Rattus norvegicus: one gene and its partners. The protein of the gene in region 4 interacts with the protein of the main gene of each other region in a pairwise test. Links are inferred from orthologs where the notes say so. Each region holds a gene or a part of one and is shown on either strand. Other genes may lie near its edges.

Region 1 (4,119 bases), on a different chromosome or scaffold from region 4:
CAGTGGTTCAAGATTATCTATAAAGGAATCTGATGCCCCCTTCTGGCATGCAGGTGTACATGCACCAGAGCACTTATACATTAAATAAAGTAAGTAAACAAAGTAAATAAGTAAAAACAAAAGAGTAATGAAAGGGGCACACAATCACAATACACTGTGTATTATATGTATAAAATTGCCAGAAAATTTAGAATTTAAAGAAAAAAGGGGTTGGGGATTTAGCTCAGTGGTAGAGCGCTTGCCTATCAAGCGCAAGGCCCTGGGTTCGGTCCCCAGTTCTGAAAAAAAGAAAAGGAAAAAAAAAAAAGAAAGAAAGAAAAAAGAAAAACAAAAATACCCAGAAACCAGTTCCTACAGAGAGTAGAATGTGGAAGTGTGAGCAACCCCAAAATCTAACCAGACCCCTGAAAAACCACGTGAAATCTGCCACTTGCTGTACAATTGATGGTTACAGAGCCAGATGTTGTGGCCAACACCTGTAATCCTGGCAATTGGGAAGGGGAGGCTTCAATTACACAAAGTTTTCAAAGCCATCCTGGGCTACATGAGATTCTCGAAAAATAAAGAATTCTTACAAATATGATGTAAAGTCTCTTAAAAACAACTACCATCTTCTGCACTCTGAATTTAGGAAATGCTAGTTTCTTTGGGGAAAAAAAAAAACACCTCAAGGAACTTCTAGATTCAGGGTCTGGTGCAGGTTCCACATTAGAGTCCTCCAATATAACTAGTGTTTGAAGCAGGAGGAATCCAAGTTCCAGATCAGCTAAGAGTATACCTTAAAAAGGGAAAGAAGCGGGGCTGGGGATTTAGCTCAGTCGTAGAGCGCTTACCTAGGAAGCGTAAGGCCCTGGGTTCGGTCCCCAGCTCCGAAAAAAAAGAACCAAAAAGAAAAAAAAAAAAAAAAAAAAGGGAAAGAAGCCAAACATTGTGACCCACAACTTAATTCCAGACAGTGGCAGAGTTCTGAAAGCCAGCCTGGTCTTTTCAGTGTGTTCTAGATCATTCAGAACTACACTTTGAGACACTGTTTCAGTAAACAAATACATAAATAAATAAATAAATAGAACCAAGTGTAGTAGTACACCGTTTAAGGGAAGAGGATCTGAGCTACACAGAGTTTAAGGCCAGACTGGGATTGAAACCCTGTTTCTCTTAGTGTTTGGTCTGCCTATATATAGACAAAACGAATAAAAGGAGGGCTAAGGATACTGATTAGTTGATAAAGTGCTTGTCTATCCTTCCACACTCAAAAAGATCACCCAGACTGAGGCTGAGGCAGAATTCAAAACTTCAAGTCAGTCTGGGCAACTTGGCAAACCATCTCAAAAAAATAACAAGGGATGGGAATATAGCTCTGTGGGAGAACAGAAAGCCGGGCACACTATGTATGTAGTGGAGGATGACCTTGAACCTCTCTGATCCTCTTACCTTAAACAATGTACTACTACACTTGGTTCTATTTATTTACCTTTTGTCAGACCTTAAGTTCAACCCTAGAACCAAAAAAAAAAAAAAAAAAAAAAAAAAAGTAAACCGTAAACATCTGTGAGGCAGGCATGGTGGGTGGCACATGCCTGCCTGCAATGCTGAGCTTGGGAAGCTGACACAGTAAGACTGACTGAAGCCAGCCTGGGCTGACCCTATAAGGGAGAATTAGCCTTTCCAAGGGACAAACTCCCCAAATGGCTAGCCAATCCCAAATGGTATGCTTTACAAACTAATACATAACACTAAATGAACTCAGCAAGTTGCATGAATTTGGCGAGAGGAGTGGATGACAGGTGAGTGGCTGGAGGAAGGAGATCAATTATATTTGAATTAAAATAAAAGGTCATTGGGTAGAGATTTTTCAGGCATAGATAAGTCATCAGCACCACACAAGCACAAAAAAAGATTCATAACTTTCAAAGAAATCTACCTAATTTCTAGTATCTAATACCTAATATCAAGTGACCCTAGTAAAAAGGAATACATTAAAGAGACAGTCCAAGTACGGTTCACTGAAAAATCCCCACTCCAGTCACTGTGTTTGAGGCACTTAATAAAATGATCTCTCTCTCTCTCTCTCTCTCTCTCTCTCTCTCTCTCTCTCTCTCTCACACACACACACACACACACACACACACACACACACACACACACACACACACACACACGGGACACGGGAGACAAGTACCCACATGAAAGAGATGGAAAACAAGGCCTCAAAGTTTAACTCACTCGGGGTTAGCACAGCCAACTTCAGATTCAAACCTCAGCTGTCATACTGTCCTAACCACCACAATGAATTAACAAGTCAGGGTAGGTGTGCGGGCTAGAAAACTGGGTAAACAATAAGCAGCAAGCTGCAAGAACAGACTGATCGTATTTAAAAAAAAAAAAAAAATAGGGCACCAGGGTAGCCTGACTACTGACTCACATTTAAAGGAAGAGTCCGGCTGCCAAACTGAACTGACAGGCATCAACCACCCTCAAAGTTGAAAGGAAATCTTGTCACCTCACCCCTGAGCCACAGGTCCTCCAACGCCAGAATCCGGGCGACTCTGGAGTCCCCGGGTCCCGCGGCGTCCCGCGCCCCCTGCCCGCGCGGCCACCGCTACCTACGGACGTAGGGCTCCTCGCGGCCTCCCGCCCCCGGGCTGAGGCCTAGGCCGGGGCCGCCCACCCTGACCCACCGCGTCGCCTCCCGGCCCGAGGCCCCGCACTAACCGTTGTATGACTTCCCTTCGTCCGCCATGGCACAGGCAGGTACAGGGGCGGGCTCAGGCGCAGAACCTGACGCCACCAAACACCCGGACGCCTTGGCGCTCAGGACAGAAGCTCTCCTACGACCGGCGCCACCGCATTTATCCGGCGAAGCACGTCGCGCGCAGCCGACGTCCCCAGGATGTGGGCGGTGCCGCGGGGCAGGAACGCGCTCTCTGAGCCTGCGCAGAAGCAGGGCGGCCGCTCGGAGGCGTGGCCAGGCCCTCCGAGGCCCGCCCACGGCCGGAGCTCGGGGCGCGATGGCTTGTAGGTCGGCCCCGCCTTCCTACTTCTCCGCTGGCCCGCAGCGCTGAGGTTTGCGCTGGAGCTGAGCGGTCTGCTTTAGCCCTGAACTCAGGAGCAGGGACGAGAGCTACACAGAAGAATGGAGACCTGGCCTCTGAACGGGAGTAACGGATCACAGTCCACGCAGGTGGGATCCCGGCAGCGTGTAAGTCGCAGCGCAGTTCCTTGCCAGCCGCCGGCTTATGCCCTCCCAGCCTTTCTCGCCTCTACGACGGATTATGACGAAATAGAAAATTGGAATGTAAGCCCCACTGGAACAGGAACCTTAACTTATGCGCAACTTTTCTTCCTCCAGCGTGCCTGGCACAGTATCATGCCCATTGTGAAACCCAAGTGTGAATTAAGCGAAATCCTGTCCTGTTCCCTTGTAGGTCTTCTACAAATTGCCTAATTAAAGCGTCAGGCGAGCTGTAGTGGCGCAGGTCTTTAAACCCGTATTTGGAAGGCAGAGGCAGGTGGATCTTTAAATTTGAGGCCAGTCTCAGCTCTATAGAAATTTCTAGAATAGCCAGAGCTTGTAGAGGCCCTGCCTCAAAAAAAAAAAAAAAAAAAAAGCTTTAGTCTTAGTACCAGTATTTTTGTCGACATAGCCAGTACAGAGATAGCGAAGGCTACATAGACGGTCTCAAAACAAAATTAGTAATCTAGTGAGCTATGATCTTCACCCCCAAGGCCCTGGCCATCATGCTGAAGCCTAATTGGTAAAACCCAGGTTAGCTAGGTAGGTAGGGAAAGTTGCTAGTATTGAGTGGTTTTGTTTGAGACAGGGTTTCTGTATAATTCTGGCTGTCCTGAAACTTGCTTTGTAGACCAAGTTGGCCTCAAACTCAAGAGATCCACTTGCGAGGTTGGGGATTTAGCTCAGTGGTAGAGCGCTTGCCTAGCAAGCACAAGGCCCTGGGTTCAGTCCCCAGCTCCGGAATAAAAAAAAAAAAAAAAAAATAATAATAATAATAATAATAAAAGAGATCCACTTGCTTCTAACTCCCAAGTGCTGGTTGAAATTTTTAGATGGCAAACCCAAGAGCTCTTCTAGTAAACCTTTGGTGTGACTAGGACTCTCCT
Region 2 (4,236 bases), on a different chromosome or scaffold from region 4:
AGAGTCTGCCCCACATGTGGCCCATGCATATACAGCCATCCAATTAGACAAGATGGATGAAGCAAAGAAGTGCAGACCGACAGGAGCCGGATGTAGATCGCTCCTAAGAGACACAGCCAGAATACAGCAAATACAGAGGCGAATTCCAGCAGCAAACCACTGAACTGAGAATAGGACCCCCGTTGAAGGAATCAGAGAAAGAACTGGAAGAGCTTGAAGGGGCTCGAGACCCCATATGTACAACAATGCCAAGCAACCAGAGCTTCCAGGGACTAAGCCACTACCTAAAGACTATACATGGACTGACCCTGGACTCTGACCCCATAGGTAGCAATGAATATCCTAGTAAGAGCACCAGTGGAAGGGGAAGCCCTGGGTCCTGCTAAGACTGAACCCCCAGTGAACTAGACTGTTGGGGGGAGGGGGACAATGGGGGGAGGGTGGGGAGGGGAACACCGATAAGAAAGGGGAGGGGGGAGGGGGATGTTTGCCCGGAAACTGGGAAAGGGAATAACACTCAAAATGTATATAAGAAATACTCAAGTTAATAATAAAAATAAATAAATAAAATAAAATTAAAAAAAAAGTTAAGTATAGTGAAGGCAGGGGAGATGGCTCAGCAGGTGAAGATCTGGTGACCCAAGTTTGTATTCTCACGTCAAAAGCCAGACAGAATGGCACAGGTCTCTAACCCAGCATTCCTGCAGCGAGAAGGGAAGCAGAGACAGACAGCCCCCTTCCTCCACCGGTGAAGCTTGCAGGCCAGCTCACCTGATGTTTGCAGCCAATGCAGCTGTAGAAACAAGAAGAAAGATTCTGGCTCAAGGTGGAAAGCAAAGCCTAGCCCCTAGGATTGCCCTCAGACCTCCACATGACTGTTGTGGCAAGCACGTGGGATCCCCCACCCACCTAAACACACATACGGAAGCCCAGAACAACAATTCTTAAAAATTTACTACAGTAAGATGACCTCTTTCTGGTGTGCAATGCTATGGATTTGACATGTGCACAATCAGGCACAGCCATTCTCTCTCATCCTGGGTTTTGCCTTTCAGTTTCAATTAAATGCACCCAGGAGCTGGACAGATAGCTCAGTGGTTAAGAGCACTTAATGCTTTTGCAGAGGACCTGGGCTCCATTCCCAGCACCCACAGAGCAGCTCACAACCATCTCTAACTCCAGTTCCAGGGGAGTCAACACCTCTCTGGCCTCTACAGGCACTTGTAGGTATGTACATAGGCAAAGCTCTCTACATAAATTTTTTAATAAAAAAGATAAGTTACGTGGACTCAACAGTCCAGAAAATATGAAATGGAAATTTCTGAAAATTGACAGTTTATAGTTTTTTAACTGCATGGTGTTTTACCGTTCTACTTGATAGTGTTGAGAGTTCCTATTGCAGTCTGAGTGTAATTCTTTCACGTGGCATATGGCCTACAAGGTTTTCTAACCTTTCTTTTAGGCTTGTAGGTGTCAATTTTAGAGGAAAAAGTCTTAATCTTGACAAAGTCCAGCTTATCAGTTGTCTATTTATGGACCATGCTTTTGGTATTTAAACCAAGGTCATAAAATTGGTTTCTTATGATTTCATCTAAAAGTTTTATAGTTCTCCACTTAGATTTATGGTTTGCTTCAAGCTATTTTAGAGTTGTTTTGAAATTCCCATCTAAATACTGAACTTCCTTTAACATTGGCAATTTAAAAAATATTTATTTATTAATATCTATGAGTGTTCTATCTGCGTGTGCAGCTGCACACGAGAAGAGGGCATCAGATCTCATTACAGGTGGTTGTGAGCCACCATGTGGTTGCTGGGAATGAACTCAGGACCTCTGGAAGAGCAGCCAGTGCTCTTAACTGCTGAGCCATTTCTCCAGCCCAAGATGGGCAATTTTAAGTAACCATAATTAATGTTCCTCCCTTTCTCCTTCTCTCCCTTCCTTTCTTCCTTCCCCATTTTTCTTTCTTCCTCTGCTCTCCTCCCCCTTTCTCTCCTTACTGTCTTCTCTCTTTCAGTACTAGGGACGAAACCCTGACCATTACTCAAGGAAGGCAATGTCTAGACCACTAATCTACAACTCCAGTTCTGTAGCTAAAATTTCTAAAAATAGTATTTTCTCAGTGTGATGTGAATTTATAGTGCCAACAGAAGAAAATTTACCCAGTAGAACATTGATAATCTCAGAGACTACAGGAAGACAAATGGGCAGTATCAGCCAGGGTGCTTGCCCCCATCCATGGTGTATGCTGAGACATAGTTATACCATTGATGTCAATGGGGATGACACCTATCTCCCCAAATGCTTCCCTAAGACAAGCAGAGGTGCCCATTCTGACACAGGAAGACCATTCTTCCACACACTACTCATAAGATGTCTGAGTTTCAGAGTTTATTGAAATAGAGCTGTGTTTTACTGTATTGTAATGTAACAAGAATTAACTAGAATTTCTGCCAAGCCAAAGGATTATCTCTAGTCACCCATGGGTTAGGTAGGACTGGCCTATGTGCTTTAAGTGATCACACACCTTGGCCTCCCTGACAGAACTGTGATGCTAAGGATCCTGAAATTCTAAACAGGTGACATGAAGAAGTGCTCCCACAGACGTGTATATTGAAAGTTCGGTTTCCATTTGTGAGAAACATTAGTAGATATGGCCTACCTGGAGGAAGTAGGGTAACTGGGGTTGGTTCCTTAGTGGGTATGTTATATCCACCCCTCTCCAGTTTTGCTCTGCCTTCTGGCCGGCCATGAAGGGAATAGCTTTCTTTACCACATGCTCCCATTGCCATGATGTCCTTTTCAAGCAAGTGAGACCAAGTGAGCATGGACTGAATTTGAAACTGTGAACCGAAAGGAGTTCTCCCATCCCTTTGTTGCTGCTATTGGGACACACTGATGAAAAACTAAGCAACAGAAGCTGCTTCTTACATTTTGTAATCCTGAAATTATCCCTATGATCACCAACCACAGTCACCATGTTCCCAGGGTTTGCAGCTAAGAGTTGACTGCATTTCAAATATTGCCCGAGGGCCTTTGGCAAAGTGCACATTTTTGCTGGGATTCAGCAATTTCTCTGTGCAAGAGTTTCACAGACCAGGGATCTATTTAGCAGGACTGCAGGGTGACTAGATAAGAACGGTGAGTTAATTTTTCATCCCAGAATGACTGGCATAAATTACTTCAAAGGAGGAAAGATTTATTGAGCCCACAGGTTCAGAGGTCTGCCCATTAAGGCAGGTAGGTTAAGGTGAAGCTGAACAGGTCCCATTAGGGCGGTGAGGAAGCAGAGAGGGAAGGCCTACACTGTGATCAGTCTCCTGCCCTATTCCTTTTAATTCCCTCTAGGTTCTCCAGCCTGTAGGTCAGGGCAGTTCCCCCTCTGACATAAATTAATCCTCTCTGGGAAATGCCCTCATAGTCACACCCAGAGGTAGGCTTTGTAATCTCCCAGGTGCTTCTCAACCCAATCAAGTTGACAATAATTTATTCATCACAGATGAATGGGGATTATTCCTCATAAACAGATGGGGTTTTGCTAGGTCACCTAGCTCATTGCTATGACAGCACCTCCGTTTTTCCTGCTCTAGGTCCTAAATGTTTTATAGGTTGCAGGCACAATAAACATTGTACCATTTGACTGCATGATTCTGAGATACTGTTAATATCAGCAACTCTAGGTGTCATGGTAAAGATATTCCCTGACACAGTTTCATTTTCAGTTCCCCATTTAGAACCAATGCATCGAAGTTCGATCATCACAAATCACCAGGGCTCTGACCTTCTGCACCTGGCGATTAGAGTTCGGTGTGACAGAGTAGACGTCGTATTGCCTGAGGTCTAAGGGTCTATGCTGGGTTCGCCTACTGACAGTAAAACACACTTACTGTTTAAGGAGGTCACAGGAGTATTTTAAGCCCCAGGGTTGTTTTGTTTGTTTTCCATCTGAACACTTGCAAGCTGAGACTTTCTTGCCCCTTTGGTTTGGACAGGGTTAGGATTCAGGCAAGAGTATGTTTTCACAAATCAAATTTTAAGTTCATCACAAGACATGGATAGATGGCCCATGGCCTTTTAGTGTTACACTGCCATCCTGGGGAGGGGTCTTACTATTGAGAGACTACAGACCCCGGCTTGTGGGGAAGCAGATGCAATTCCATCGAAGCATTATCGTATAGGATCAATCCCAATTAGACTTTATCCACTCGTAAGACTGCCGACGTGTTATCAACTCAGT
Region 3 (4,303 bases), on a different chromosome or scaffold from region 4:
GCACCGCTAGAGCTTATGCAGATACCACCCCTCCCGCCACGCACGCGCGCACACACGCACAGCTCTTCTCAAGACTGGGGTCATCCCCACTTAGTTTTAGGATAACAAGTGCAAACTGTTCTCGTTGCCTATTAGCCTCAAAGCACAGGGACTACCCGAGGTAAGTACGTCACGGGAGTTTAATAATGGTAAGAACTGGCTGTGGCAGCAGGAAGCACCTCACTTGACTGTGTTCTGTTGTTGTTTAATTGTTTGTTTTTAATGAGGTAAGAACCTAGCTAGATCTCAGACGAAGTGCAGAGCTAGCAAAAAGCAGAAATTACTCTCGTCCCCAACCCCTGTTTTTACACTTAAGGGAAACTTAAGTTTCTTAGACGATTAAGACTTGAGCATCTCCAGACTTACCGTCATCTTTCTCTGACTTTCTTTGTTTCTTCCCCGTTGCTTTAGTCTTTGCAGAAGACGTGCTCGGTTGGCTAGACATCTGGCATTCCACTTCTTCCCTTGGCTCCTCTGCACGCCCCTGTGGACAGGGGAGTGGGTTACAGAGTTGCCTGATGTCCTGAGACAGCATAGCCCTTCACTTGCTCTAAACTAACTCATATCTAAGGTCCCCAGGAGGTCAGCGCACGTGTTTACCAGTGTGCATTCTCATGGGACATCATTTGAATAACCAACCTGAGTTATAAAGTAGGGAAGCAATGGTCAGGGAAAGAGAGGGAGTCAAAACGAAAAGCAGGCTTAGCGCCACATGACTGTAACCCTAGTAGTGGCTAAAATCAGGGCCAGGCCAGCCCAGGCTTGTAGGGTTTTTCTCTACATAGCCTCCCTGGCTGTCCTGGAACACAGAAGTACCCCAGTCTTCTTCTTAGACCCACCCACTGTGGGACTATCTTAAAGGAAGGAAGAAAAACATTGCAGTAGCTGTAATCTTAGCACCTAGGCAGTGAATGCAGGTGTGGGGGGGTGGGGGTCACCAAGGGCCAACCTTTGGCTACAGGATAAAACAAATGAAATAGCTATGAACAAAGCAACAGAAGATAATGAAAACTACCCAAGAGTAGTTCCCTCTTTGGGGAAGAAAACCTTACTCTATCTTCTCATATCCCAAATATTTTCCCCCAGTCCTTGGTTCTAGGCTCACCCAAAGACTTTGTAGCCAGGGTGATGTACCAAAGACATTGTACCACTTCCATGGCTGACTTCCCTTCAGAGCCTCTCAGACATGGCCTAGGGACACTTTCCAATTGTGACAACAGCCTGGTGACATGTTAACACCGACCGATCTCTTCTTCAGTTCTTATACCTGACTCCCATCCAAGTCTTAATTCAAAGGTTATTTTGCCAAATCTCTATAAAATCTACCACATATTACCTCATTTCCACTTGTCAATTGATTCCATCTGATTTTAAACTCCACAAGAGTGGAGCCCCTTCCCCTTTTATTGCGGGCAATGGATAATAAATATTCTGCTTAATTAAGGGAACAGAGATTACAAAAACAAAACAAAAGCAACAACAACAAAACTAGAAACGATCCCTAAGCACAGAAAAAACAAACAGGCAAAAAAACCTAACAAGTATTAGGCCTCTTCTAGAAGATACAAGACTAAACACACTCCTTCCCTTTATATAATTTCCTAACTACTACTGTATTTTCAGGACCAAAAGTTTAAAGCTTATTAAGCTGGGTGGTCATGGCACATGCCTTTATCCGAGTTCGAGGCCAGCGTGGTCTACAAGAGTGACTTACAGGACAGCCAGGGCTACAGAGAAACCTTGTTTCAGAAAGAAACAAAATCAAACAAAAAAGCCAGGAGAGGTGGCATTGGGGAGGAAAACCAGCCCGGTTCACAGGACAAGTCCCAGGCCACCCAGGGCTACAGAGAAATCCTGTCTCCCAAAAAACAAAAAACAAAACAAAACAAAACAAAAACTCATTAAATAAATAAGTAAAAACACTAGGTCACTTCGCTGGAAAACCCAGATCTTTTCCAACCCCCACCTTCCCACCCCCCGCCCCCGCAAGAGTGGGAGTAAGTGACAAATTAACATTTGCCTGTTACTAGACACCTCGGTACTTTTTTATATCACAACAGGAACTAGCTTCAGAAGGACAATAAGACTTATATTCGCCTCTTTATAAACTACTCACTTTTGGACCTAACAAAATTTGTACACTAGAGAAAGCTGGAAACGGCTGGAAGGAGCCCTGGAAAGTGCTCAGGATTCTGGCTACTACAGTTAGTTAGGAACCAGCAGAGCCTGTCAGTCAGGTCTGTCTTCTCAAACCTCCTCAACTCTGAGGACCTTTGGATATAAACAAAAGGCCTAGAAGCCAGGTAACAGGCATTTCTGAGTTAAGCCCTCAGGTCTTCTCCCGGCCATTGGGGACTCCAGTTCCTTCCGAGGCTCGGTTCATATCCTGTTTTATCCTGTGACCATTTCCCTCCAGCTACCGCATTCTAAATTCCTTTCTGGCAAATCACAACCTCCTCTCCTAACACATCTACAACCAGGCCCGCGGGCCTCGTGCAAGGCCACGTCAGAGAGGGCGGGCGGAGCCACACACCTACCTACCTTAAAAAAAAAAAATTAAAGTGTAACAAATTGTAACGCTCCTTCTTTTCTTCCCCAAACAAGGCTGGGTATACTCCAAAAAAGAGGCCCTAGACTGACTAGTTTGGAAAGCCGACTTGTAAAAACAGGTCTCACCTTCTTGCTTCCAGACGGCTCCATCTTGAATTTAGATGAGACCTCCGAAAGAAAGTTCTCCTAGCTTCCAAATGACCTATGGCCTCCTTCGGCTTTTAAAAGTCTCCTCCTACTTCCTGTTGTCTTGAGGCCCTCTTCCGTTCCCCTCCCCTCCTGGTCCCACCCCCAACAAAATTGTGATGCTAAAGTCTGGTTTGTGGCTAATTTTAATAAAGCCGCTATTGTGTGGTTTGATTATTTTTGCTTTTTTCCTCTGAATTTCTTTTTTTCTTTTTCTTTTTGGAGGCAGGGTTGCCTGGCCTGAAATGCTTTATATACCTATGTTTATTGTACTGTCTGGGACTCGGGAATACAGAGATTTAAAGGAGCGAGCTGCCACGCCCTACTCCTGGCAACTGTAAATCTGGGAAATTTTAAACTGTAACTATTGCTGGGCGTGGTGGCGAATGCCTTTAATCCCAGCATTCGAGAGGCAGAGGCAGGTGGATCTCTCTGAGTTTTCTGGCCAGCCTGGCCTACATGGTGGGATTCTGTCTTTAAAAAAAAACAAAACCCAGCTCCGAAAAAAAAAAGAACCAAAAAAAAAAAAAAAAAAAATAGGAAAGGAGGGAGGGGGGGAGGGATCGAGGGAGGAAGGAAGGAAGGAAGGAACCTCTAAATATTGCTAAGGGAAAGTGAAGTTCCTAGAGAATTCTGAACAAGCTGTATAAGCAGATTGCAAATTTACCTAATGGAATTAGCAACCTGGACAGGAATGAAAACAACCCATTTCTTGTGACTCCAGAATTCTTTTACTATAAGACCACAGGGGGGTTGTATTGTTTCTGTGGTTTTGGGCTCTCGCAGGACTTTGTTTCTGCATACTAATCAGTCTACCACTGAGCTACAATCCCAGCCCACAAAATTACAACTTTTGTAAATCCTCCCCATCCAACCCTCCTTTTTTTTTTTTTTTTTTTTTTTTTTAAGTTCTCCATAATAGAAGTCCCTAGGGACCCAGAGCACTCTGAGATTTTCCTGTCTCTGACTCCTGACTGCTAAGATTCAAGGTGTGCCCCCTCACGCTGGGCCTGGGCTTGAGTTTCTGATCTTCTAGCCTCCTCAGGATTGGAACTCTGGCCACCAAGCCTGGCTTCAAACCTTAACTTTCTATCTGCCAACTGTTAAAAGGTTTTGTTGGTGCTAGTTGGTTTCTCTGTGTAGCCTGCTATCCTGGACCTGGACCAGGCTGGCTTTGAATTCACATAGATCCTCTCGCCTCTGCCTCTAGAGAGCTGGGACTAAAGGCATGTACTGCCAGCAGACTTTTTTTTTTTTTTTCCCAATAAAAAGTTTTTAAAGTCTACTGAATATGTAGTGAATTCTGGCAGTAAAATTCAGTCACTGTTTTGCAAATGATGATGATTTGTGGGAAACTATACTGGTAACTTGCTTGCCCAGTAAGTGAACATTAAGCTTGACTCTCTATTATGATGTCAGAGGATGCCCTCAGCACCACCATCTCCCACAAAAACAAACAATCAAAAACCAAACCGATCAACAAAACCAAACAACCAAACAAACAACAAACTGGAAAAGTTCCTTTTGA
Region 4 (4,357 bases):
AAGTACATGAAAAACTTTAAACATTGAATAATGAGAAAATAGAATTTAACATGAAAAAATATGTGAACCAACATTTCCAAAGAGAAAATGCACCAATAGAAATCACTGGTGAAGATGCAGAATATCATGAAGTTCTAGGAAAAAAGAGGGTGAAACTTCGAGATACAGCCCTGCCAGATAAACAAGAAAATAGTAAGGAAAATGTGAAAATGTCACGTGCCAGTAAGGGCACACAGAATTGGCATTAACACACTGATGCTGGAATGGAAAATTATACAAACTGAAAATGGCAGGAAAAAAAAATACCATCATACTGTATATGTCCATTTTCTTTTAAAGTACTTTTGTTAGTTATTTAAGTTCATACAAGTTGAGCATATTCACCACTGTCTCTTCTAAAACCATCCAGATTCATGCCCTTTGTCCTGCCCACCGAACTTTGTGGGGTTTTGGTTTGGTTTTGTGTTTGGGGTTTTGTGTTTTGTTTTTAACTCATCCAGTCTGCTTTGGGTTATCTTTATATTCTTGGGTATAGGGTCATCCATTAGACTTTAAGCCACACCCTTAAGCAAAACTGATGCTTCCTTTTTTAGAAGCCATCAACTGACAATCGTCTTCACATAGATGTGAAATATACCCACCTCTTCTCCCCGTGGTGAAATTCTGTTGGGCTTGAACTTACACGGGTTGTATACATTCAGTGACTGTGGGTTTCATGTGAAACCACATAGTTGTTCCCAGAAAGTACTGTTTCTTTGTCCTTATCCACATTGACAAGCTCTAACATTCTTTTTCACTCCTTCTTCTGCAATAATCCCTGACTTGGGTGAAGAGGTATGATTCACTTATCATATTTGGGCTGAGAATTCTGTAGTTTATTACTCTAGTGCACCGGAGCTGCTTTTAGTTCTTTATGTTAGCACCATTTACTTCAAAAAGAAGCTACTCCGATGACGGTGATGAGGGTTGAACTACCCACAAATCTACTAGCATAGTGCTAAGTTTTATACTAACACTGTGTCCATTTAGCAGAATAATAATAGCAAATTCTTCCCTAGGGACTATGAATTACCTGATCAAAAGTTCTTGCCCTCAATAATTGTGCTAGTTATGTGTTTCATCTTGTGGAACAGGCCTTAAATGAAAAAAAATAGTTTACTACATTTAAAATATCCATGCCACCATTGTACAACTGAGTTAGTTACTGATTATTTTTCCATTCTGTTAACGTACATAGCACCTTTCAGCAACATGGAATTTATCCAGTAAGAATGAAGCTATCAGATGGATACCAGTTTGACTTCTTTCTGTTCTATGACTCAAGTATGCGGTGTCATCAGAAATAAGGTCTTACTGTCAAGTTCTGGAGGATAACCAAGAGCAATATCAATAGCATTTAATAGTTGGAGGTCTATGGGACTTCACTGGCTAACAGCTCCAATATATGTGGGAATAGGTTTCCATATGACTTTGTACATAGATCTTTTGTTATTGTTCTATGTATATATTCTTCTAACCAGTTTACCCATCTCCCACCTTATTCATTCCTCCTATTTCACTATTCCCTTTTCTCCCTTTAAATGATTGCATCATTTAATTGGTCCCTTAAAAGCATCCTATGCCCCACCATATGTCCTTACTAGTTTCCTGACTTCCATGGGCATTTCAAAATAAATACACAAATCTGAAGATGCAAAACTAGCATCTGCAACAAGTAAAAGCAATCAACATTTGTCCTTTGGGGAGGAGGGTGTCTGTTTTACATCATTCAGAATGATTGTTTTCAAATACATGCATTTACCTGAAAAATTCAACTTTAGTATTCAATGGGTGAATGGTATTGCATTGTATAAATGTATTATATTTTTACCATCCATTCATTGGTTGATGGACATCTGGGAGTTTCCATTTCTGGTTATCATAAATACAGAAGCATTGAACATGAATGAGACAGTGTCTCTTTAGTAAGATATAGGGTTCTTTTGGTATATGCCCAAGCAGTAGATTAATTTCCAGTGTTTTGAGGAACTCTACACTAATTCCACAGTGAACACACTGATGAATAACTTCAACAAGTAGTGAACAAGTGCTTCCTTTCCCCAAATCCCTACAAGTATTTGTCATCACTTGCTATTTGTATCTTAGTCATTTTGACTGAAGTAAGAGGAAATTTGAAAGTAGTTTTACTTTGCATTTCCCTAATGGCTAAGGATGTTGACCATTTAACAAAATGTCTCCGTCATATTCATTTCATCTTTTGAGAGCTCTTTGTTTAATTTTACGCCCCATTTTTTACTTACATTGTTTGTTTTCTTGATGTGTAGTTCCTTGTTTACTCTAAATATTAACGTGTCAGATATATATGTTGTTGAAAATTATAAAAATAAAATGCTGTCTTATACCCTCTCTAGGTCCGGCACCACAGTACCCCCAAGATATCTGATAGATATCCCAAACTCAGTCAGCAAAGCGTCTCACCTGCTCTGCTGCATCCCATATCACACTGCCGAAGGCCTCTCTGAGCCTGGAAGAAATCTCTCTACCTATCTAGGTCCCAAGGCAGGTTTCCATGCCAGAAACACACATCCCAACTCCATGTCGACCCAGACAAGCCGCCCCACACTTCCTTACATTTAAATCTACACATGAAAGATGATACAACACAATAATTTTTGATCCAATTGATAAAATACAATTGCCCACCTAAACATACAAAGCCCATTACACATCCATCCCTTAAGAACATATATAACCTGCTGAGGTACAGCGTGGAATCTAAACACAGGCTTCCAAATTGTTCTGCCGCGGCTTCGCTCCTCTCTCCTCCCCTCTTCCGTTTCTGTCTCCTCCTCTTCCTTCAAAACTTTCTCCCGCCCATCCTTCCTTTTCGTCCAATGACAGGCCTCATTCTATCTTGTACCTGCCTCACCAGTGACATCATCCCACATACATAATTGTTAAAGTTTTTCCCATTCTAAAGGCTGCCTCGTTACTTAAGTGATAGTGTAGTGTCTTTTGTTTTACAGAAGCGGTCTAGTTCATGAGTTACCATGTATTAATTGGATTTAATGTATTAACTACTGGGGAAAATGCATTCCTGTGTCAGTAAATTCAAGTATAATCCAAATATTTTCCTCTACCAGATTCAGACTATCAGGTTTTATGCTGAGGACCTTTATCCACTTGTAGCTCAGTTTCAAGCAGATTAACAGATAAAGATATAGTTTACACTCTCTATGAATAGCAAGAGAAACTAGAAGAGATAATATCAGCTCCGTATCCTACAACAAAAAACAATAAATGGAATTAGAACCGAAGGGCAACGTGATTATTAGAGAAATGAAAATACTCTAAAGTTGAGGTTAACTTCTCATTGTATAATTTTGTAAATTTGTTGGAAATGTTAACTATATGTTTACTGTAGGTAAATATTTTGGCTAACAGCACAATAAAATTGTTTTACTATCAAGCTATGCAATCAAATTATTGTTCATTTCTTTTTTTTTTATTAACTTGAGTATTTCTTATATACATTTCGAGTGTTATTCCCTTTCCCGGTTTCCGGGCAAACATCCCCCTCCCCCCTCCCCTTCCTTATGGGTGTTCCCCTCCCAACCCTCCCCCCATTGCCGCCCTCCCCCCATAGACTAGTTCACTGGGGGTTCAGTCTTAGCAGGACCCAGGGCTTCCCCTTCTACTGGTGCTCTTACTAGGATATTCATTGCTACCTATGGGGTCAGAGTCCAGGGTCAGTCCATGTATAGTCTTTAGGTAGTGGCTTAGTCCCTGGAAGCTCTGGTTGCTTGGCATTGTTGTACTTTTGGGGTCTCGAGCCTCTTCAAGCTCTTCCAGTTCTTTCTCTGATTCCTTCAACAGGGGACCTATTCTCAGTTCAGTGGTTTGCTGCTGGCATTTGCCTCTATATTTGCTGTATTCTGGCTGTGTCTCTCAGGAGCGATCTACATCCGGCTCCTGTCGGTCTGCACTTCTTTGCTTCATCCATCTTGTCTAATTGGGTGGCTGTATATGTATGGGCCACATGTGGGGCAGGCTCTGAATGGGTGTTGCTTCAGTCTCTGTTTTAATCTTTGCCTCCCCCTTCCCTGCCAAGGGTATTCTTTTTCCTCATTTAAAGAAGGAGTGAAGCATTCACATTTTGATCATCCGTCTTGAGTTTCGTTTGTTCTAGGGATCTAGGGTAATTCAAGCATTTGGGCTAATAGCCACTTATCAATGAGTGCATACCATGAATGTCTTTCTGTGACTGGGTTAGCTCACTCAGGATGATATTTTCCAGTTCCAACCATTTGCCTACGAATTTCATGAACTCGTTGTTTTTGATAGCTGAGTAATATTC

The links.
Region 1: the proteins of Ldoc1 (region 4) and Nxf1 interact in binary tests that used the Homo sapiens proteins (3 or more experiments, as listed by UniProt). The two-hybrid records come from large-scale screens. The link is inferred for Rattus norvegicus from reciprocal best matches to the Homo sapiens genes LDOC1 and NXF1.
Region 2: the proteins of Ldoc1 (region 4) and Fam50b interact in binary tests that used the Homo sapiens proteins (3 or more experiments, as listed by UniProt). The two-hybrid records come from large-scale screens. The link is inferred for Rattus norvegicus from reciprocal best matches to the Homo sapiens genes LDOC1 and FAM50B.
Region 3: the proteins of Ldoc1 (region 4) and Dppa4 interact in binary tests that used the Homo sapiens proteins (3 or more experiments, as listed by UniProt). The two-hybrid records come from large-scale screens. The link is inferred for Rattus norvegicus from reciprocal best matches to the Homo sapiens genes LDOC1 and DPPA4.

What each region holds. Positions count from the first base shown.
Region 1 is NC_086019.1:215,083,252-215,087,370, reverse strand, and holds the start of Nxf1 (nuclear RNA export factor 1), read right to left. Parts: upstream 2,809-4,119; 5' UTR 2,741-2,808; coding exon 2,713-2,740; intron 1-2,712.
Region 2 is NC_086035.1:30,391,378-30,395,613, forward strand, and holds the start of Fam50b (protein FAM50B), read right to left. Parts: upstream 2,809-4,236; 5' UTR 2,662-2,808; intron 1-2,661.
Region 3 is NC_086029.1:66,038,947-66,043,249, forward strand, and holds the start of Dppa4 (developmental pluripotency-associated protein 4), read right to left. Parts: upstream 2,809-4,303; 5' UTR 2,740-2,808; coding exon 2,716-2,739; intron 524-2,715; coding exon 406-523; intron 1-405. UniProt on the Homo sapiens protein: May be involved in the maintenance of active epigenetic status of target genes. May inhibit differentiation of embryonic cells into a primitive ectoderm lineage.
Region 4 is NC_086039.1:145,000,239-145,004,595, reverse strand, and holds the start of Ldoc1 (protein LDOC1 precursor), read right to left. Parts: upstream 2,830-4,357; 5' UTR 2,754-2,829; intron 1-2,753. UniProt on the Homo sapiens protein: May have an important role in the development and/or progression of some cancers.